Linked DNA regions of Ovis aries. The protein of the gene in region 1 interacts with the protein of each later gene in a pairwise test. Links are inferred from orthologs where the notes say so. Each region holds a gene or a part of one and is shown in the gene's direction. Other genes may lie near its edges.

Evidence for each region.
Region 2: the proteins of C1H1orf94 (region 1) and GSE1 interact in binary tests that used the Homo sapiens proteins (3 or more experiments, as listed by UniProt). The link is inferred for Ovis aries from reciprocal best matches to the Homo sapiens genes C1orf94 and GSE1.

Annotation. Positions count from the first base shown.
Region 1 is NC_056054.1:9,141,618-9,145,420, forward strand, and holds part of C1H1orf94 (uncharacterized protein C1orf94 homolog), read left to right. Parts: intron 1-1,061; coding exon 1,062-1,307; intron 1,308-2,379; coding exon 2,380-2,555; intron 2,556-3,803.
Region 2 is NC_056067.1:10,798,227-10,802,820, forward strand, and holds the start of GSE1 (genetic suppressor element 1), read left to right. Parts: upstream 1-1,507; 5' UTR 1,508-1,688; coding exon 1,689-3,653; intron 3,654-4,594.

The DNA of each region.
Region 1 (3,803 bases):
GAAAATCGGGTGAAAAGCCACTGTTGTAGGGGGATCCTTGGTGGTCTAGGCAGTGTCCTTGCACAAGGGAGACTTGGTCTGTTTGGAGAGAGAGAGCTGAGCCTGGCACCGGCAGCAGCCAGTGGCTCACTCGTGCCTCTGTGCCTTTGCCTGCGGTCACCCATGGCTCTGGGTGCAGGGCCTCGCTGCAGACCTCCTCCTCCTGGAATCCCTCCGGTCCTCAGACAGAAGCTGTCTCAGCCGCCCTCTTCCCCCGCTGTGTCCCTCCATCACCTCACGGTCCCCATCTGCCTTGTCCCGGAGCTATTTCTGGGTCTGTCTCTCTCTTCCTCCGTGTTGTGAGTTCCTGCTGGGCCAAGTCTGGCTCTGACTCATCCAAGTGTCCCCAGGACTCAGGTCAGAGCCTGGCGCTGATGAGTGTGCTGAATCGCCACGACGACTTAGCAAGAGGAGAGTCTCTGACAAGGGACCAGCTGCGTGTTGTGTGGGAATGTGTCTGCGCCAACCACCCCCCCCCCCCACCGCCACTAAGCCAAGTGTGCTCCCTGAAGACAGGAACTATCCGGAACCTTTGTGATCCAACCTACAAATGGTTAGAGGGAAGGAAGGGAGGCAAAAAGAGGGAGAAAGGAAGAAGCGGCAGGGAGGAAAAGAGGAAGGAAGAAAAGAAAGAAAAGAAGGTAAGGAAAGAGAGGGAACTAAAAGGGAGGAAGTTTTTTAAGGAGGAGAGAATGGGATTAGGGAAGGGAGGATGGATGAGTGGATGGAAGGAAGGAAAGATGGATGGGTGGGTAAAAGGATGGATGGATGGGTGGACAGACGGAAGAAGACAAGAATGGATGAATGCATTCATGCATGCAAGGGTGTGAGACCGTCATGGGCGCTGGTCAGGGAAGGCTTCAGGGACTGGACTTGGACTGAACTTGGTTGAGAGAGAGCCCAGAGTGGTGGGAGTCTCAGGTGTGCTGCGGAGGATCCATGACTTTGTCCACAAGACCATGCTCCCCCCATCCAGCATGTGGTCTTCCAGAGTCACTGACTCAGCTTCTCTCCTGCTCTAGAACGGAACCCAGGTGCCAAGGAGCTGACCAGGGGCCGAGAGAGCCTCTTTCTCAGCCAGTGGTCCCCGAGCCGGAAGGACACCTGTGGTGAGGAGGGTGGCAGTGACCCCATGGCTCTGCCGGCCAAGAAGCCTGCCTGGCAGGCTGAGAAGAACCTGCTCTATGAGGTCCTTGGGGCCACCAAGAACCCAAGCGGGCAGCTGAAACTTCGTGGCAAAGTGGAGGTGGACAGGCTGGAGCTGAAACGTAAGCTGACCCTGCCCAGATCTCTCTATGCAGGAAGAGAGTCTATGCAGGAAGGGATTTCAGAAACCCTCATAGGCCCCTGGAGTAGCTCTGTCCTCAAACGGCTGTCATCCATGGGCAGGTCACTGTCTTTCCCTAGTCCTGTAAAATGGGGAAATGGCTTTCTTCCTGTGTCACCCCTACAGGGAAGAGCTCAAGAAATCTAGCTGACTTTCAGGGGTCACATGGGCCTTATTGGTGGTTAATTTGAATATAGCCCTGACTCAGCATGTCTTATGTCCCCTCAAGTTGCCTGAGCCAAAGAAAATCCCGTGCTTTAAGATTATTTCTACATTTTGAAAAAAAAAAAAAAGATCATTTCTACATTTCGATTATTCACGTCTCAGCTTTCTCTCCCTTGTACATCTAAAACTGTTTTAGTAAAACATTCTCCCCTCAACAAAAGGTGCTAAAAAGGGGACACTGATACCCCATCTCTAACTCTTAATCCCACAGGACATATTATAGAAGGAAAGAATCCAGGATTCATATCCTGAAACAACTCCATCAAATATCATTCATTCAGACTAATTTGGGATCTTACCAAAGGGGATTATATAATATTTTTAAATATTTTTAAAAAATGACTCTGGCATAGATGCAACACCTACATAAGGTCCTCGCTGTTGCCAAGTGCATGTCCCCAGTGGGGTGCTTTAACAATTTGATAAGAATGGCTTCCCACAGCGTAGCAATTGTTTGTATCAAACTGGATTTTTCCGAAGCACTTGAAGGAATATAGTTTTGCACGTAGGTGAGACAAGCTGGTTGATTGTATCTCTTGCTAAACTGCCTCCTTACTTGTGAGTCGTGAAGGAGATGCTCCATGGCAGACCATGCTGGGCCTCTCACCCCTTCCACGTTGGCAAGATGTGAACTAACAGTGTTTTCCTTGAGCTTTGAAGAACGCTCTGGGAGCCTTAAAATACCTGACTGGTGAGAACACTAACTCTGGGGGCAGTCATGGAGCTGGGGCAGGCTGGCCTCTCCCTTCCTCAATCACGAAACGTTCTACCTCTCCTGTGACTTACAGTTAACCCACCTGTGACCGGGGCCGACAAGAACAACCTCAAGTACACGGGGAACGTGTTCACCCCACGCTTTGCCACCGCTTTGACCTCAGCAACTCTGAACCAGCCCCTCTGGCTCAACCTGAACTACGCACCTCCGCCCGTGTTCACAAACCCCTCCACCTTCCCCCAGTACCAGGTGAGTGAGCAGGTCCGGGCCCAGTTATCCGGTGGTGGCCGTCCAGGGAGGCGCTGTGGCTCACAAGGAGCCTCATTCACAAAGAGCCGTGGGCTCATTAGTTACTTTCTTCACAGGGACACCATCAGACCGACTGCCAGATACGCGTGCGCATGCATCTCACACACACACACACACACACGCACACGCACACACACACGCGCGCACACACACGCACACACACGCGCACACACACGCGCGCGCGCACACACACACACGCGCACACACACAAGCGCGCACACACACATGCACACACACGCGCATACACACGCACACACACGCACGCGCACACACACATGCACACACACACGCACACACGCACACACGCACACGCGCACACGTGCACACACACGCACACACACGCACACACACACACACGTGTGCCTGTTTCTCATTTTCCTTTGTCTGGATTCCGGCTCACTCTGTGCTGTGTCTTTCAGAGCCGCTTGGCTAATCCTGGGCTGTGAAGTACTTGGGCTCCCAGGGAAGCCTGACCGACGGCACAGTCCTCGTTTCCCACCGCCTCCTGGGGCTTGCTTTGTAGTCGGATGACACGTGGCCTGGATTACTTGGGACAGTCCCCGTTTTGGTCTTTTGTCCCAGCATAATTATTCATTGTACCCCCTTTCACTCTCAAGCGTCCCAGATGACAAATTATGTGGCCGTTTTATTTCAACTACAACCTAGCAATCTTAGCTTCTACCGGCTGAGGTGGCTTGGTACACAGTCTTGGTCTTGGACTGAGAGCTAAGAGGCGTCAGACACAAAGGGGTGGGGGAAACGCTTGCAAGGCTGACGGTTTTACTCACACAACTTATTTACTCCGGGAAAATGTAGTTTCTTTCGTTCGTCTATTTAACTTAATCTCCTGTAAGAGCTGCCACCCACTGGGTAGAGAGATGAAAAAAAAATCAAATAAATGTCCATTCTGATTTAAACCATAGTCCGAACCAAGAGCTTAAATAGTCCCTCCAGGTAGTGTTCCGTTGCTCCACGACAGGTGCTCAGCGCCTAAGATTTCTCAGTCTTCTCTCCCCTCCCTGGCTGCTTGCCAGAATGGCGTGCAGGTGTACAGAAGGGGCAGGCCCCTGGGAGCCTGCTGCCCCAGCCCAGCCTGGCCGAGCCCAGGGAGGGCAAAGAGAGAAGGAGATACAACCTGAAGATCTTCTCGTTCTGCCCCTGTGCCCCTCCCCCTTCCACTGCCCCTGG
Region 2 (4,594 bases), on another chromosome or scaffold:
ATGCAGAATTATTGGGAGGAGCGACTGAGGGGATGTGTGTAAAGTACTTAGATTCTGCCCCTGGCACGTACTAAGGTCTCTGTTTCTGTGTTTAATAAATACATGTATCTATACATAGGTACAGTAAATACATGGAAACAGTTAACCCCCTGCCAGAGCTTCTGTCTAACAAGAGGAAAAATGGGCCCAGAGTTGTTGAGTCATGTGCCCTGGAACACACAGCCCTTACACACAGGACCCTTTTTGCCCCTGCCAAGCAGTGGGCTGGGGGTGTGGCAGGCTAAGGAGTCTGTCCCCAGGATGGTGCATTCTCTAATATGTCCCAGGAGACAGGGGACAGCTCCTCTTACCTCTGTCACCAGAATTAGAACCCTGGGCCGTGAAAGGTGCCCCCAACCCGGGCCTCCTCAAGGCTGTAAAGGGCCCGTTAGAATGGGGAGGGGGCAGGGGTCCCCCAGCTTACTCGGCAGCTTGCCTACTTAGGGGCTGAGGGAGCAGCCCTCCCTTGTCTCCTGGGATGCCGGTTGCGTCCTTACCTGGCTCCGGCTGCGTCCTGCTTGACCTTTACTTAAAGACCAGCTCTAGCGGCTGATGGGTTTCTGCGGGTCCCCCCGAGGAGACCCTTCAGACGGCCAGAGTCAGGCACGCTGGAGAGAGCCCCTAATTGGGGCAATGAATCATCGAGTGCGGCTCCCGGCTGGACACAAAATAGATAGAGGAGCCAGCGAGCTATTGTGCGCAGTTTGGGACAAGGGGGGTGGGGGTGGGGTGGGGGCGTGGGGGGGGGGAGGCGGAGGAGGGGAGGAGGAGGAGGAGGGGAGGAGGGAGGGCAGAGGGGAGGAGGGAGGGCAGAGGGGAGGGAGCGCGAGGAGGGATTCCCCACCCGCCGCGCTCCCTCCTCTCGCCCGCCCTCCTCCCCTCCTCCTCCCCTCCTCCCCCTCCTCCTCCCCTCCTCCTCCCCCTCCTCCTCCCTTCCTCCTCCCCTCCTCCTCCCCTCCTCCTCCCCTCCTCCTCCCCTCCTCCCTGCGCACCGCCCGCCGCCCCGCCTCCCTCCTCCCCAATTAAATGACCCAACGCTTTGGCAGGCGCCGGAGCTCGCACATGCGGCTGCCGCTCCAGCCGCCCGGAGCCCGCCGCCGCCGCTGCTGCGTTCCGGGCGCGCTCGCCGCGGCGCCGCCGGGGGCTCGGCTGGCCGGGGGGGCGCCTCTGCGAGCGGTGGAGCGCCCGTGCCCGCCGCCAAACTTTGCGGCGCGCACACATGCTCCAAGTTGGGCGCGGCGGCGGGCGGTGAGGGCCGCCCCGGGCGCGCGGGGGCCGGGGCGGGCGGGCGGCGCGGCGCGGCCATGAGCGGGCGGCCGGCGCCGGTCTCCCGCAAGCAGCGGCTTATGGCAGCCGTGGGCGAGCGGACGGCGGGCGGCGGCGGCGCGCCGCTCTCCTGCTTTATCTGTGGCGGCGGCATCGGGCGCGGCAAGGAGCTGAAGCTGCAGGTGAAGCAGCCGGCGGCGGTGGCGGGCGCGGGGGCCCCGGCGCAGCCCTTCTTCCCGTTCCTGCAGCAGCAGGAGCCCGCGCCCGGCGCGCGCGAGCTGTCCCCGGCCGACGGCTGCGTGCTGGTGTGCGCCGTTTGCCGCTGCTTCCTGGGCGAGCAGTGGGCCGCCTTCGAGCGCGCCCGCACGCCCGTGGACAAGCGCATGTACTGGCTCAAGCGTCCCCACCAGTGCGACGCGGGCGCGGGCGGGCGCCGCGGGGGCGCCGCGGCCCCTCGCGAGTGGAACGTCGCCTACGCGCTGGGCGGCGCGGACGACGAAGACGAAGGCGGCGGACCCGGGCCCCGCGCGGCTGCCGAGGAGCCTCGAGACTCGGAGCTGTCGGAGCTGTCTGACACTGACCCCCTATCTGAGCCCGACCCGGCGGCGCGCGACGCCCCCAGTCCCCACCAGGATGGGGCGCCAGCTGCGCGCTCCGCCCCGGGGCCCGGGCCTCGCGGTGGCCGCTGCCTGGAGTGGAGGCCGGCGCTGGGACCTTCTCCAGGACAGGGTGCGGAGACCCCGGTGTCTGGGGATGTGGAAGAGGAGGGAGTCCCCTCAAAGCTCCGCCTGGATGGGGAGCCCAAGGCCGGCATCCGGCGCCGGCGGAAGGGCCCCGGGAGGCACTGGGTCCCAGAAGCCCGGGCCAGCGTCCTGAGGGGAGTTCAGGACCCTTGGCAAGGGCCTTCAGTCCAGGTGGCCCCTGCAGAGGGCACAAAAGGAGCTCCTTTGGGCAGGGTCGCCAAGACTCCTGAGAGCAGGCCACTGGGGGAGAGCCGTGGGGGCTACTGCATGTCTGAGGACAGTGACATCAACATCACCAGCGAGGAGGAGGACCGCAAGGAGCAGCCTCTCCCAGGACCCCGAGGCCCCAAAGACAAGGAAAATGGTAGTGGTTGTGCACCCCGGGTTCCCCCGGAGAGCCGGGCAGCACCACCAGAGGGCCTTTGCTGCTACATCTGTGGGTCAGCGCTGTCCCCAGCCTCGCAGCACCAGATCCACGTGCAGAAGCAGGAGAAGCTGGCCCAGGCCCCCTTCTTCCCCTTCCTATGGCTGCACAGCCCTCCTCCGGGGGCACAGCCCATCAGCGAAGGTGGTAGCACCCTGGTGTGCCCCTGCTGCTTCTCATCCCTCATGCAGCAATGGCAGAGCTTCGAACTGGCCAGTGTGCCTGTCCTGCAGCGGCTCTACGTGGTGCCCCTGAACAGCCACGCCCCAGGCATGGCCTCCAAGGGCAGGCGGCTCCTGAGGGAAGAAGGCCCACCCACCGGGTCCCTGCCGGAGGCCTGCTACCTCTGCGGGGAGGACTGCACCCAGGACGCCCGGGCTGTGGCCTCCAGGAGCCTCAACGGCAATGCCAGGGCCTCCATGCATTTCCCCTTCCTCAGCCTCCTGCCCTGCCCGCCCAATGCCCAGGGCCCCAACAAGCGCTGTGAAGTCCGCAGCTGCCCCAAGTGCTTCAGCGTCCTGGAGGATGTCTGGGCCCTATATCGGGCTTGCCAGAACGAGGAGCTCATCACCTCAGTGCAGGGCTTCCTGGGCAGGTACCACCAGGCCTTCTCTGCCTCGGACCCTACTCTCTCCGAGCCGCCTTTGTTGGCCCAGGGCAGCCCAGCATCGATCTGTTACATCTGTGGGGCTGAGCTGGGCCCCGGGAAGGAGTTCCAGCTCAACGTGAACCCGTCCAGCCGCTTGGGTGAGAAGGAGCCCTTCTTTCCCTTTCTCACCGTCTATCCACCCGCCCCGCGTGCCAGGCCGGCCGACGCCACCGGCCTGGTGGCCACCTGTGTGCTCTGCTACCATGACCTGCTGGGCCAGTGGCTGCAGCACGAGGCCCGCAGTGCCCACCATGCCGTCAGCCCCTGGTCTCGGCAGTACCGCGTGGAGACATTCGTGTGCTTCTTCTGCCAGCAGGAGAAGAAGCGGTGTCTCGGGCTGAAGGCCGTGCGGGTGGCCCGGCTGCCCTTGTTTCTCTACACCCTGCGAGCGAGCCACAGCCTGCTAGTGGATGACGGGCGGCAGCTGGTCATCGGTGCCTGCATAGAATGCGGGACCCTGGTGTGCGCTGGCCAGGGGCTCCCCCGCCAGGCACCCGTGGGCTGGAGCTCCCCAGTGGCAGCTGCGAGGAAGGTAAGCAGCCGTCTTCAGTCATCCTCTGAAACCCCAGCAGGGAAAGAAGAGATGTTTTCTATTCTGCCGGGGAGCAGTTTGCACTGATTCTGTGTGCTGTGTTCCAGCAGGAGGGGCCCTCTCGGGTCACCCTGCTATGCTAGCCGAGCTCAGAGGCCTGGGGCAGGCCAGAGGAGCTGGGGGGCCGAGTGGTCCTGTGGAAGAATAGGGCATTGCTGAAAGCAGCAGGCATGGGCCTGAACTTGAGTGTGTGTGCAGCGGAATCTATCAAACAGAGGAAGTTCGGGGCACGTCTGTCATCCGCCTGATAACATTGGTAATTAGTCCAGCCATGCGGGTCACTGAGAGGTCTCGTACTTACCCGGTTTGAAACACATCAGTAGTTCCTCTCTCTCTCTTGTTCCCACTAGGCTTAGCTTTTCCAGAATTTTCCACCCAAGTTCACACTTTTCCTTAGAGGCTCTCTGGTTGCTTAACAGCCAGTGAAGACAGATTTCCAGACATGGAGGTTTGGGGCCCGGGAGACAGTGGCCTAGACAGGCCTTTCTCCTGGTGGGAAGAGAGTCTTTCTTCTCTGCAAGTCAGCTGTGCCGGGGAGGGCGGGAAGCCTGGCATGCACCCTGTTTATAAGGCTCCTGCCTTCACGCTGCCTGCCCGGGAGGAGCCAGACGGGGTTCAGTTAATTTTGGATCCGGCTTTGCAGAGGCCAAAGCAGGAACTGCCCCTGGTGGGTCTGGGGAAGCAGACATCTGTGAGTTATGATCACCGTCATGGCTACCGGGGCCAGGAATCCTAGTTTCCACTGAAGCCAGTGGTGCTAGCTTGTCTAATCCGATGCCTGGAGTTGTGGCCACTGGCGAGGGGCTGGCGGAGGACATGTGAACAGGGAAGGGTGCCTTCACTTGTCCAGGGGTGGATGTCCATCTGCTTGAAAGCTTCCC